3 linked regions of the Coturnix japonica genome follow. Each later gene encodes a partner of the first gene's protein in a complex. Links are inferred from orthologs where the notes say so. Each region holds a gene or a part of one and is shown in the gene's direction. Other genes may lie near its edges. The genes, in order: PDRG1, RUVBL1 and ASDURF.

Evidence for each region.
Region 2: PDRG1 (region 1) and RUVBL1 share a complex: the UniProt entries of both Homo sapiens proteins name them as parts of the PAQosome complex. The link is inferred for Coturnix japonica from reciprocal best matches to the Homo sapiens genes PDRG1 and RUVBL1.
Region 3: PDRG1 (region 1) and ASDURF share a complex: the UniProt entries of both Homo sapiens proteins name them as parts of the PAQosome complex. The link is inferred for Coturnix japonica from reciprocal best matches to the Homo sapiens genes PDRG1 and ASDURF.

Annotation. Positions count from the first base shown.
Region 1 is NC_029535.1:8,958,133-8,961,657, forward strand, and holds PDRG1 (p53 and DNA damage-regulated protein 1), read left to right. Parts: upstream 1-1,381; 5' UTR 1,382-1,455; coding exon 1,456-1,539; intron 1,540-1,614; coding exon 1,615-1,690; intron 1,691-1,767; coding exon 1,768-1,842; intron 1,843-2,006; coding exon 2,007-2,087; intron 2,088-2,478; coding exon 2,479-2,561; 3' UTR 2,562-2,889; downstream 2,890-3,525. UniProt on the Homo sapiens protein: May play a role in chaperone-mediated protein folding.
Region 2 is NC_029527.1:7,146,708-7,150,903, forward strand, and holds the start of RUVBL1 (ruvB-like 1), read left to right. Parts: upstream 1-1,269; 5' UTR 1,270-1,520; intron 1,521-2,364; 5' UTR 2,365-2,403; coding exon 2,404-2,451; intron 2,452-3,102; coding exon 3,103-3,235; intron 3,236-4,196. UniProt on the Homo sapiens protein: Possesses single-stranded DNA-stimulated ATPase and ATP-dependent DNA helicase (3' to 5') activity; hexamerization is thought to be critical for ATP hydrolysis and adjacent subunits in the ring-like structure contribute to the ATPase activity.
Region 3 is NC_029522.1:4,422,858-4,426,974, reverse strand, and holds the start of ASDURF (ASNSD1 upstream open reading frame protein), read left to right. Parts: upstream 1-1,239; 5' UTR 1,240-1,306; coding exon 1,307-1,369; intron 1,370-3,246; coding exon 3,247-3,300; intron 3,301-3,834; coding exon 3,835-3,910; intron 3,911-4,117.

The DNA of each region.
Region 1 (3,525 bases):
TGGTTTGATGTCTGATTTATCTTAACAGCAGACCCTGGCAATCACAGGGAAAGATGAGAAGGAAAAAAAACCCACCCCATAAACATCCCTGAAGCCTTCCTGTGCAGCTGTCAGCAGGCAGGCAGGGAGGGTTCTGAGCTGCATAAATGAAAGTGATTCAAGGAAGAAAGAAAAAGGAACGTGCTGAAACCCAGACCTTCCCTTTACGCCACAAAATACAGACAGATGCAAACCATCCCATAGCAGCGAGTGGATGACCACATGCTCTGTCTGCACAGACAGGTTCCCAGGAGGGCACATAAACATGCAATCAATCTGAACGAGCCTCCAGCCTTCAGGCTGAGTCCAGCTTCCAGGCAAGCAGCTTTCCTACGGCGCCGGGTCCAGGAGAAGGAAGGCTGTGATGATTTGCATCTGGCTCAGGGCCTGCTGTGGGAGAGGCCTGCAGAGCATGGCACCAGCAGCCATCGTTGCCTTGGGAATGTTTTCCAGGTGCCCAAAGCTTTGTGATGCCTCCTGCCACAGCTCAGCTGCAGCTCTCATGCAACCCTCTGTGTGGCCACGGTAAACCCACAGCCTTTATTTTGCTGTGAGCTGCTGAGTAGCACTGCCTGCTTCAGGGGTGGACATCAGGCTTCTCTCTGCTACTGCTATCACGTAGAATGTGATGGCTCGAGGTGGAAGGGACCTCAAGGATCATCGAGCTCCAAGTCCCCGCTAGGACGGGGTTGGATGCAGACGGGCAGTGCTCATTTCCACCACTTCACTGGGCACCTTCTTCTTTCAGCACACTCTGCCACAGACCGAGATCTCTCCCGTTAACTGTCACAAACGACTTTACGAGATTAAGGCCGGTAATCTTCCGATCTGCTTAATCTTCCTCTGGGGATTATTTGCGCACCAAGAGCTTCGCTCCTGGCAGCCACAGAACCACAGAACACCCCAGGATGGAAGCAATGACTGAACCCAACCCTCAGCTCCACCAGGGGAGCCCTGAAATCTCACCCCGTGTTTCAGAGCCGCCCCACAGCACTGCCCGGCCGATTCACATACAGAACCACAGAATGAGCCGGGTTGGAAGGGACCTCAAGGATCATGTAGTTCCAACCCCCCTGCCTGGCAGGGCCACCAAACATACACCTTTACTACATCAGGTTGCCCATGGCCCCGTCCAACCTGGCCTTGAACACCTCCAAGGACGGGGCATCCACAACCTCCCTGGGCAGCCTGTTCCAGGCCCTAACCACTCTCCTAGTGAAGAACTTCCCCCTAACATCCAACCTAAATCTTCCCTCTTTTAACTCAAAACCATTTCCCCGTGTCCTGCTATTGTCAGCAATTGACACTGCAATTCCCGCAGTGTCCACACGGGGGCGCTCTACGCGGAACTCCGGATCGCGGCCGCTGCTGCCGCCCGGCGGGGAGCGGGGATGGGACGGGGCGGAGCGGCCCGACATGGCGCGGGACCCAGCGTTTGTGCTGCGCTACCTGGCCGAGGTGGAGGAGCTGGCCGAGGACGTGCTGGCCGCACGGCAGCAGGTGAGACCCGACCCGGTTCGGCCCGACAACCCCCGACCCCCCCCTTTATCCCCATCCCCTCCCGTCTCTTTGCAGATCGTCGATCTGGACGTGAAGCGGAACCGGAACCGCGAGGCGCTGCGGGCGCTGCTTAAAGACCCGGAGCCGGACGGTGAGTCCCGGAGCTCGGCCGGGATCGGGGCGGTGTGTGCGGGGCACAGCGCTGAGCACGGCTGGTCCTCACTGCAGGGAAAGCCATGGTGTGCTTCGGGAGCACCTTCATCGAGCTGCACAAGGCCAAGGCCAAGGAGATGCTGCAGAGCGGTACGGAGGGATCTGCTCACCCCGAGGAGCTCGGAGCTAAAACAGAGCAATGCTGCCATCCTGCCCTGCTCACACAGCCCGGCAGGGTCTCTGTTGGTCCCTTGTTCAACCCCAGTCCCCATGTCATGGGTTAACCCCCCTTATTCTTGCCCTGCTATTTTCAGATCAGGAACAGCTGGATGAGGAGATAAACAACCTCCGGAAAGAGCTGCGTGTGAAGGTCAACCGTCTCTTTGAAGCTCAAGGTAAAACACTCCTGGTCTTGAACCCCAACAGCAAAGGTCTGGCTGCAGATGCTGGGGAGAAGTCAATGTGTGAGTGCTGCCGGGGCTGCTCCTCCTCTCACTCTGTCATTCCCTCCCTACCCTGGTAAAGCTGTCAGCCAGCAGCGTGCTGGATACACACAGCAACGACCAGGGTGGATAGTAGGAACAATTGGTTCTCCATCACCATCCCTGCAGGCATCCCAGCACCGCAGGGATGTGGCACTGAGGGATGTGGGCAGGGTTGGGTTTCATGATCTCAGGGCTCTTTTCCAACCTTCACGATGCTGAGAGCCATCATTGCTGCGTGGTTTCACATGGAATGCTTCATGTGTCTTATAGCAAAACCCCAACGTTCTGCACATCCCTACAGGTAAACCTGAGCTGAAGGGATTTAACCTGAACCCCATGAGTGCAGAGGAAATGAAACTGATCAATCGCATCCTGGAAGGTTGAGACAGCCCTGCCACCACCACAACCGTGTGCAAGCACTGCTCAGCCTGCGGTGGTCGGGTATCACTCACAGCATTTGCACTGCATCAGACACAGCCTGTAGGATTTCCAGCTCTCCTGCATTGCTGGAGCCTCTCCTAAAGAACCTGGTGGGCACAGGGAAGGATACAGCTCCTCAGCTGTAATTCTGGCTGTAAACTCTCCCCACTCCTTGCTGCCGGTGGCAGAGCAGTGCTGAGGCAACTGCTGGAACAGTGGCTTATTCACAGCCTCTGACAAACACCCGCCTGCAAGGGGGATTATTAAAACCAGCACTGTGGGGCATTCCTAACTCTGTGTGTGTGTGTTTGTTGTTGGGTTTGTTATGTGAGAGCTTCTGTAGTTTGGCTGCAGAGCGAGTTCACTGCAGTGTCAGGAACAGAAGTAGGAGGAATTGTAAATGTACAGCGTGCCCAGAGTATAGAAGAGCTGTGTGTGCCTGTGGTATTAAAATGAAATGAAACCCGTGCATCTGAAACACGTCAGGAATCTCCTGAGAGATGCGTAGGGAGGAACAGAAGGCAGCAGCGTGTTTGTCTCAATGGGAAAACACAGGCTGCTGTCAAGGTGGGAGCCAAGAGAATACAGAAAAATAAGGCTCTCAAAACAGGATGAAAGAATAAAATGGACACATATTAGCAAAAACTGCAGCTTGAACAGGCTGGATTTGGCCTGTAGCAATGGGATAACTGATTTAAGTCATAATAGTTTTGGCAGAGGTCATAAAATCAGCTCTGGCTCTCCAGGTAGCTCATCTGCTCTCCACTTCAGGCTTAAGTTAGAGATGCACAGACTGAAAGTAATGTTAACTTAGTATCTGAGGCACCTTACATCTGTTCTGGAAGTGAATGGCAGTACAGTGCCAAGCACCCGTGTTATAACTGCACTCTTACATAACCTGCATAGTACAGCCAGGAAATGTGTCTAA
Region 2 (4,196 bases), on another chromosome or scaffold:
AGGGAGTTGGGTTTGTTCAGCCTAGAGAAGAGAAGGTTGCGGGGTGACCTCATTGCAGCCTTTCAATACCTGAAGGGAACTTACTCCCAGGAGGGGAGTAAACTCTTCGAAAGGGCTGATAATAGCAGGACACGGGGAAACGGTTTTAAGTTAAAAGAGGGAAGATTTAGATTGGATGTTAGGGGGAAGTTCTTTACTAGGAGAGTGGTTCGGCCCTGGAACAGGCTGCCCAGGGAGGTTGTGGATGCCCCGTCCTTGGAGGTGTTCAAGACCAGGTTGGACGGGGCCCTGGGCAACCTGATCGCCTAGTAAACGCGTTGGTGATCAGATTTGGTGGCCGCTTCAGCTCAGGCGAGGGGGGTTGGAACTACAATGAATCCTTAGAGGTCCCTCCAACCCGGCCGTCATTCTGTCGATTCTGAATTGACGCATACCCAGAACGCCGTGCGCCAGATGTGGTAACTGCAGGGATGGTGGCAATCAGGCCATAGTGCCATGGGTCCGTGGTTGGATATTACGATGAAACACTCATGGCAATCTTTCCAACCTTAACTAATTCCATGAGTCATCTCCTCGCCCAGAATCTACCAACAGAGAAGAACGCACTGGATGGCAGCCAGGCTCTGAAACGCCCTCTGAGATTTCACAGCATTTCCACCCCAAGCACTGATGGACCACATAAGAGGTGCAGTAACACTACAGCAGAGCCCACAGCCATGGTGGTGGGAGATCTGTTACATGAGGGAGCTCTGAGGGTGTGGAGATGAGACACGACCCCCCGAACAACTGTTTTCCCCCCTCAGTTTATCAGTACTCTCGACGTGGGGAGGAGCTGTCCGTCGCTATATTATACTGTTATAAAAAAGGCGAAGTTAAAGGCTCAGATATTGCCGTGGGCACGTAAAACGTAAATAACTGCTGGTTAAAAATTAACCAGCAGTGGTTAAATTAACACACTGGTAAAGGCAGGACGACAGCAAAGCCCACCCAAAGGCTCGGCCCCTGCTCGGTCCCGGCCCATCTCCCCACACCCACCCTCCCCCGCACCTCGCCGCCGCACGCCGGACCGCTTTGAGTCGAGAGCGCAGCCGACGGAATGCGGCGACAGACGGCCCACACACTCTCAAATATGTATCGCCAGGCCCGCCGCTGCAGCTCGTCCGGTGAACAGGTCACGCCTAACCGCAGACACCATCACAACAGCCGCGCGAGGCGCGGCAGACGCAGGGCCAATTGACGAGACGCGCGGGAGCGGGGGAGCCCGAGGAGGCCGCGCGCCGGCGTAGGCCTTGGTAACGCGCGGGCCGCGTGATGCGCGGGTGGACGTGAGGGAGAAGGGAGACCCGTGGCGCCGATGAAGATCGAGGAGGTGAACCGAGCAACCTGCGACAGACGCATCCGCGGCAATCCGCAGCACAACAGCCTGTTAACTGGGCCCTCCGGGGGCTGCGACGAGACGGCGGCACTCCGCCAAACCGGCGGGCCGCCGCGCCTGGTGCGGACAGGAGAACGCGCGGGAGGTGAGAGATGGGCCCCTGCACCTGGCGCACTGCTCGCGGGCTGGCACGGCCGCCGATCATAGAGCGCCAGGCCCGGGCTGTGAGATTCGCCCGTTACTACTCGCTGGATTGTCGGATAAACGATCTACAGGGTTTTAAGGCTCCACTTCAAAGATTGGTGCCCGTGAGGTGGTGCAGGGCCCAGCCAAGTCCGCCTGCTCCGCTCGCGACAGGCCGGGTGGGGGTTTGTCACAGAATGACCCGGGTTGGAAGGGACTGGACTCAAGGATCATGTTTCAACCCCCTGCCGTGGAAGGGCCACGCAAAATCATATATCACCTTTACTAGATCAGGTTGCCCCGCAACAGGTCCGCCGTCAGCAACGCTGGGTCACTTGACAAGCACCTCCAAGGTATGGGGCAGTCCACAACCTCCCTGGGCAGCCTGGTTTCGCAGGGCCCTAACCTGAACTCTCCTAGTGAAGAACTTCCCCCTAACATCCAACCTAAATCTTCCCTCTTTTAACTTCAAACCATTTCCCCGTGTCCTGCTATTATCAGCCCTTTCCAAGAGTTTACTCCCCTCTTGCTCTGTTTTTAGGCTTTGATACCTGCGTGCAGCTCTGCAAGGGGAAAAAGATCCCCAGCTCTTTGGTTTGAGTTCTGTTTGATTTATTTCTTTAATGTGCCAGATACAGGGACTGCAGGAAGTGATTTCTTTCTTACCTCACTCCTATGTATAACATTGAACTGCAGTTTAATTTTGGCACCTCAGAAGATCAGTAGTTCTAAACACTTCTAGTATCACTGGAATTAAATGTATTTTAACAGTACTCTTGTTAATGGTGCCAACCCTTATCCTGCAGGCTTGTGGGGTTATAGTAGAGCTCATCAAAAGCAAGAAGATGGCTGGCAGAGCTGTCCTGTTGGCAGGACCTCCTGGAACTGGCAAGGTATCCTGATATTTTTATTTTCCTTTTCTTGCAAGAAATAAAACCTTCTGAAATCCGCTGTAATTTAACGTGCTGCCACAAGCATTTTAGAATAGCGGTTATATATTGTCTTCATCTGCTGTTGTGTTTTTTTTCCTCCATTAAGGTATTGACACAGTCTCCTGTTTTGTGTTTAATTTTTGCCACGTCATTAGCACTGGCAGCATCCTCTGGTTTGTGCAGCCATCATTAGTGCGAAAGCACCTAATATAGGTTGCCAAACACAGAGGCAGGACAGTTTCTGATTAGTCTTATAAGTTAATTCGATATTAAAAGCCTAAATAGTTATTCTTTTTAGTTGTTTTTCCCTTTCCATCTCATTTCTATAAGATGTTAAATTCAGAAGTCCACTATCATTCCTTTACAGTGTTTATAAGTCATTGGTAGAAGTCACCTTATGCGTGTCTAATTTGTTTTGGTGGGAGATGTTTGTTATATGTGAGAGATGTCAGAGCAGTTATAATATAGTATATATATGTATATATATATATAATACTATAGTATAGTAGTAGTAGTTGATAGAGTGAAGGTGATACGATGAGGAAAGTTAACTTAGTGCAGAAAGAATCCTCATAAAAATGAAATGCTTAATTTCTTTTTCCATTTTTAAAGACTGCCTTGGCTTTAGCTATTGCTCAGGAACTTGGCAGTAAAGTTCCCTTTTGTCCTATGGTTGGAAGTGAGGTCTATTCTACTGAAATCAAGAAAACAGAAGTTCTGATGGAAAACTTCAGACGAGCAATTGGTAAGTTTCAGAAAAACAGAAACGTTTTTATGTGATACTTACATTGTTTTTTCTAGTGATCTGAAAAGGAAAAATCTTGGTGGTCACGGTGGTTTCCAGAACATGATGTGAACTTTTCTTCAATGCTGATCTTAAACTGGGGAATCTCTCCCACACTTAGTAGAGTCAGTAAGGTTTTCTGGATATAAATGCTTGTGTCCCACAGATATTTTTACTTACTCTCCTCCCCCAGGATCTCTTCTTGTCCTCCAGGTTCCACCTCCTGATGCCACCTGTGACACTCCAGAAATCTGAAAGAAAATCTGTTTTTAGTTTCTTACATTAGCAGAAATGCTTATAGACAGCAAAATGCTTTCCCTTGTACTTTAGTGATTCCACCTTGCTGAGCAAGCAGCCTTCTCGAGGGGTTCCCAAGTGGCAGCATTAGCCTGGCTCAGTGTTCCAGTGAGCACAGAGGAAGTTCCATGCCAGCAAAATAAATAATATCTTCAATATCTTCCTCAATTCTAGAGTGCTTTTACAAAGTCAACGTAAATTGGGTAAATTTGCAACGCGACCTCACTAAGTAGTTAAAATCTCTTTTATGATCTCTGCTGACAGCTGATAAATGCGGTTAAAATGGCCCTTGTTTGTGTAAGGATTGCCTAAAGATGACCTAACTGAAAAACTGAACTTATTAACAGTTAATTTCCCTGATTTCTCTGCCGTGTTTCCTCTCTGACTTCATCTGAGTATCTGGGGGTGGTGAAGAGGTCTCTCAGTTCTGCAACCAAGTAAAAGTATTCCATTCATTTTCATAAGAAAAACCTTCAGTAGTCTCTGGTCTAGTTACCATGAATCTGGCAGGGCCTGGGGGATGGAAGCCAAAGACTGAGCAGTCTGCAATATTTCCTTGATGTGATGAAGTACCCTGTCAGAGATCTGGAAACTTGAACCAACAGATGAAACTTCTGCCATCCAT
Region 3 (4,117 bases), on another chromosome or scaffold:
TCTTAAGTCCTGCCACACCATCCATATGGCATTTCCTATGTCAGATATCTCTTACACTTCCATCTGCTACAACCTTTCATAGCATCTCAAGCTCTTACTGTACACTTACCAATTTCACTTGCACATGAAGAAATAGCAAGTTGGACCTTGCCGTGTATCAGCCCGTCCAGACGCTCTCCATGCCTTTCCACACAGTGGATTTACAGCAGTCTCCTTCCTTCACTGAGGGCTACACAGGCTGGACGTGCAGCATTTCTGTTCTACTCATAATGTCAGCACTGTCTCACACGATGTGTCGTACTCTTTTAGTCCTACTGTTTAAGTGTATTTTGGAACAGCCAGGTTGAGCCGTCTCATCTCATTGATTCTGTTTCCACACCAAGAAGACACACTGCTACTTGCATCCTAAGCTAAAGCACTACTACTACTTGGAAGATGGCACAGAAGGATGAAGCATTCACTTATCATCTTTGGTTAATGTAGCAAGACAGATAATGAAGGTTCCAACAGAATCATAGAATGACCCGGGTTGGAAGGGACCTCAAGGATCATGTAGTTCCAACCCCCCTGCCTGGCAGGGCCACCAAACATACACCTTTACTAGATCAGGTTGCCCAGGGCCCCGTCCAACCTGGCCTTGAACACCTCCAAGGACGGGGCATCCACAACCTCCCTGGGCAACCTGTTCCAGGGCCTAACCACTCTCCTAGTGAAGAACTTCCCCCTAACATCCAACCTAAATCTTCCCTCTTTTAACTTAAAACCATTTCCCCGTGTCCTGCTATTATCAGCCCTTTCGAAGAGTTTACTCCCCTCCTGGCAGTAAGTTCCCTTCAGGTACTGAAAGGCTGCAATGAGGTCACCCCGCAACCTTCTCTTCTCCAGGCTGAACAAACCCAACTCCCTCAGCCTGTCCTCATAGGGGAGGTGCTCCAGCCCCCTGATCATCTTCCTGTCCCTCCTCTGGACCCTTTCCAAAATCTCCATGTCTTTTTTGTACTGAGGGCTCCACACCTGGACACAGCACAACAGATGAGTAGAGCTCAAGCAGGGGACTAACGGGAAATGTCTCCATGAATCAAAATACTATCAAAGATCCGACAACAAGGCAGCCGGTACTGAAGGAAAATGGTCTCATTGCTCCACAGCCACTACGGCCATAACTCCACCTCAGCCATACGCGCCTAACAGCCGCTCTGCTGTACGCATGCGCAGTCGCTGCAGTTGTTTGGAGCCCACAGCGTGAGGCGCAGCCGTTGTGCGTATATTGCTGTGCGACGGCAGCGGCCGGCACTGCGAGCTGGGGATGTCGCGGCGGGAGGAGGAGGAGAGCGCCGAGCTGGGCCGTAAGGAGGAGCTGAGCCGGAGGGTGAGTTATGGAGGGTCTGAGGTGCTGCCCTGCGTCTCATAGTTGTGTGTGGGAAGGAGGAGGGTGTGCTGGAGGCTGAGCTGCGCTGTGGCCCAGGTGAAGGTGTGGGGGAGCTCGAGTGTTGTGAGCCCTTCTGGCGAGTTCCCTTCCCGTTTTTAGTGTTGTGAGATGGGCTGTGTGTGATTAGTCGAAGGAGAATGTGGTTCTCTGGGTTTGTTGAGCAAGTCGTGAGGGAGTTTAGTGAGGAGGCCAGCTTTAAAGCTGGGCTTTTCGTAGTGGCAGTCTTGTCTTTGTTCAGTGTGAGTTCTGTACAGTCCTGGTCAGTTGTCCTCGCATAAAAAGTGACTTTATTCTTCTACACTAATATCGCAATAGATTAGTGTTGTTCTCTAGTTGATTGGTTACATAAGAGACTAAAGAGAGCAACTGCATCAGCACAACACAGCGTATTAGCTGCGTGGCTGAAATGCCTGGTTCTGCTTTGCATCACAAGACTGCACTGTGTTCTTGTCTGTTTCAATAACTATCATAGTATGCTGTTGTAGCTGTTGGTGAAACAGCATTTTCTCAGTTCAGTTTGCCTTATACAGCCCTGTAGTTATTTCCATCTGCGCCAATTCCAGGAGGCAGAAAGGAGGACCGGAGTAAGGTGTGTTCTGTGCTTACAGAAAGTAGTGTGTGTTGAACCACTTTAGCTTTGTGTTTCAGCTTTTTTGATGGGCCCTGATTGCTCTTTGTCTTTAATGGCTCTTTGTCTTTAGTGGCTGACGTTGTCCAGGGAAGCAGGAGCATTGGACTGTTTGTGTCAGTGCAGCTGAACTGATGGCGGTAGATGCAGCATGACAACTTTGTGCTAAAAGTCCAGTGTACTGGAAGTGTTTCTAATTATCTTAATACAGTTTTGGGGTTGTTTTATACATATTTATTTATTTGGGGGGGGGGGGGGGGGTTATTGGTTATGTAGGTTTTTAATTGTTTCATTTACTGTTTTCATTTTGAATCTGGAGAATAAGATTATAAAGTGTATTGTGTAGGTAAATCTTTTCTCTAAGTTGCGTAATCACAGAATTATCAAGGTTGGAAAAGACCTAGAAGATCATCTAGTCCAACCGTTACCAATACTTCCCAGCTAAATCATATTCATCAACACAACATCCAGACGTTTCTTGAACACTCCCATGGTCGGTGACTCCACCACCTCCCTGGGCAGTGCATTCCAATGCCTGACTACCCTTTCTGAGAAGTAATACTTCCTAATGTTCAGCCTGAATCTCCCCTGGCACAGCTTAAAACCATTCCCTCTAGTTCTGTCATCTCTTACATGAGAGAAGAGGCCAACCCCCAGCTCACTACAACCTCCCTTCAGGAAGTTATAGAGAGCTATAAGGTCTCCCCTGAGCCTCCTCTTCTCCAGGCTGACAAATGTTAATAGTTGTTTATACGTTTGTTTTTTTGGGGGAGGTTGAGGGTGAAGTGATTTTGGATTCTGAGCAGCGAGGAGTACTCTGGCTTCCCAGTAATGACTGCTTTGGGGGGATGGGAACAGTGTCAACCATGCAAGATAATTCCCTTCCAAAGCAGTTATTTAGAGTGCTTCATTGTCTTATTGTTGAATTCATAACTTAGATTTCAATAAGAAGTGTGTTAAATGTAATTCAGTTATGTGGTCCGAAGACTTGTTGTATGCTTGGAATAATGGGTAATGAAATTTCTTTTTCATTCCTGTGTCCACTTTCATTTTAGTGGTCTGTTCAGGGCACAGTGACTTATATTTTTATAGCTGTCTTAAAAACATGGGTAAAGATTTTAATCTCCAGGACTGCAACACAGTAGTTTATTGTTGACAATTATATTGAGATGTGTTTTTTCTCTTTCAGATTAAGGAACAGAAGGTTGTAGTTGATGAGCTTTCGAATTTGAAGAAGAACAGGGTAAGCATTAAAGTTTTTTCTGCTTACTTCATTTTAGCATCAGATAAATTTGTATAGAGGCAAGAGGGCAAACAAAATTGCAGTGAGTACATTATCTTTAGTTGTTACACTAAAGATTTTAATGTGTATATGATCTTCTGTATGGTGTCAAAATGTTGTCTACATCGCTTGAGGGTTTACTTACACTTGTGCATTGTAACAGGAAGCTGTCTCAAGGTTTTACTTTAGCACAATTTTTATATTATGATGTTTGAGTGGATCAGTTTATGTTAAAAGCTTCTTTATTTTTCATGTGCATATGATGTAAAACAAAATATGACCCTTTAAGTATGAGGAAAGGAGGAAAATGCAGAATGGTTGTGGGTTGTTCCTGAAATGTTTTGGTGCGACATGAGGACATTGCTCATGGCAGAGAAGGTATCTTTCAGACATAAAAGGGAAGGGTATCTCAGTGGACTTCAGTGAGTTTCTGCTGCAGTGTGGTTGCCTGTGTATGCTACTTTTACTTAATGTGGTGTTGTATTTATTTTACAGAAAGTTTATAGGCAGCAACCCAATAGCAACATATTCTTCCTTGTAGACCGAACAGAAACACTGTCTCAATGCAAAAGTAAGTTTGCTGCACCAAAGGTAATAGTTCAACTGTTTAAAAGCTGTCTCTGTAGCTGTTGAAGATTTCCAAGTTGTAGTACAGTGGGAAAGCTGGCAACTGCATGTTAAATACCAAGTGGACTTCAGTTGTGCCTGCTTTTCTGGGCTGAATGAATGTGGTTCCCACTTGATTTGCATGTGTGGTAAAACAGCATGTGCTGAAGAT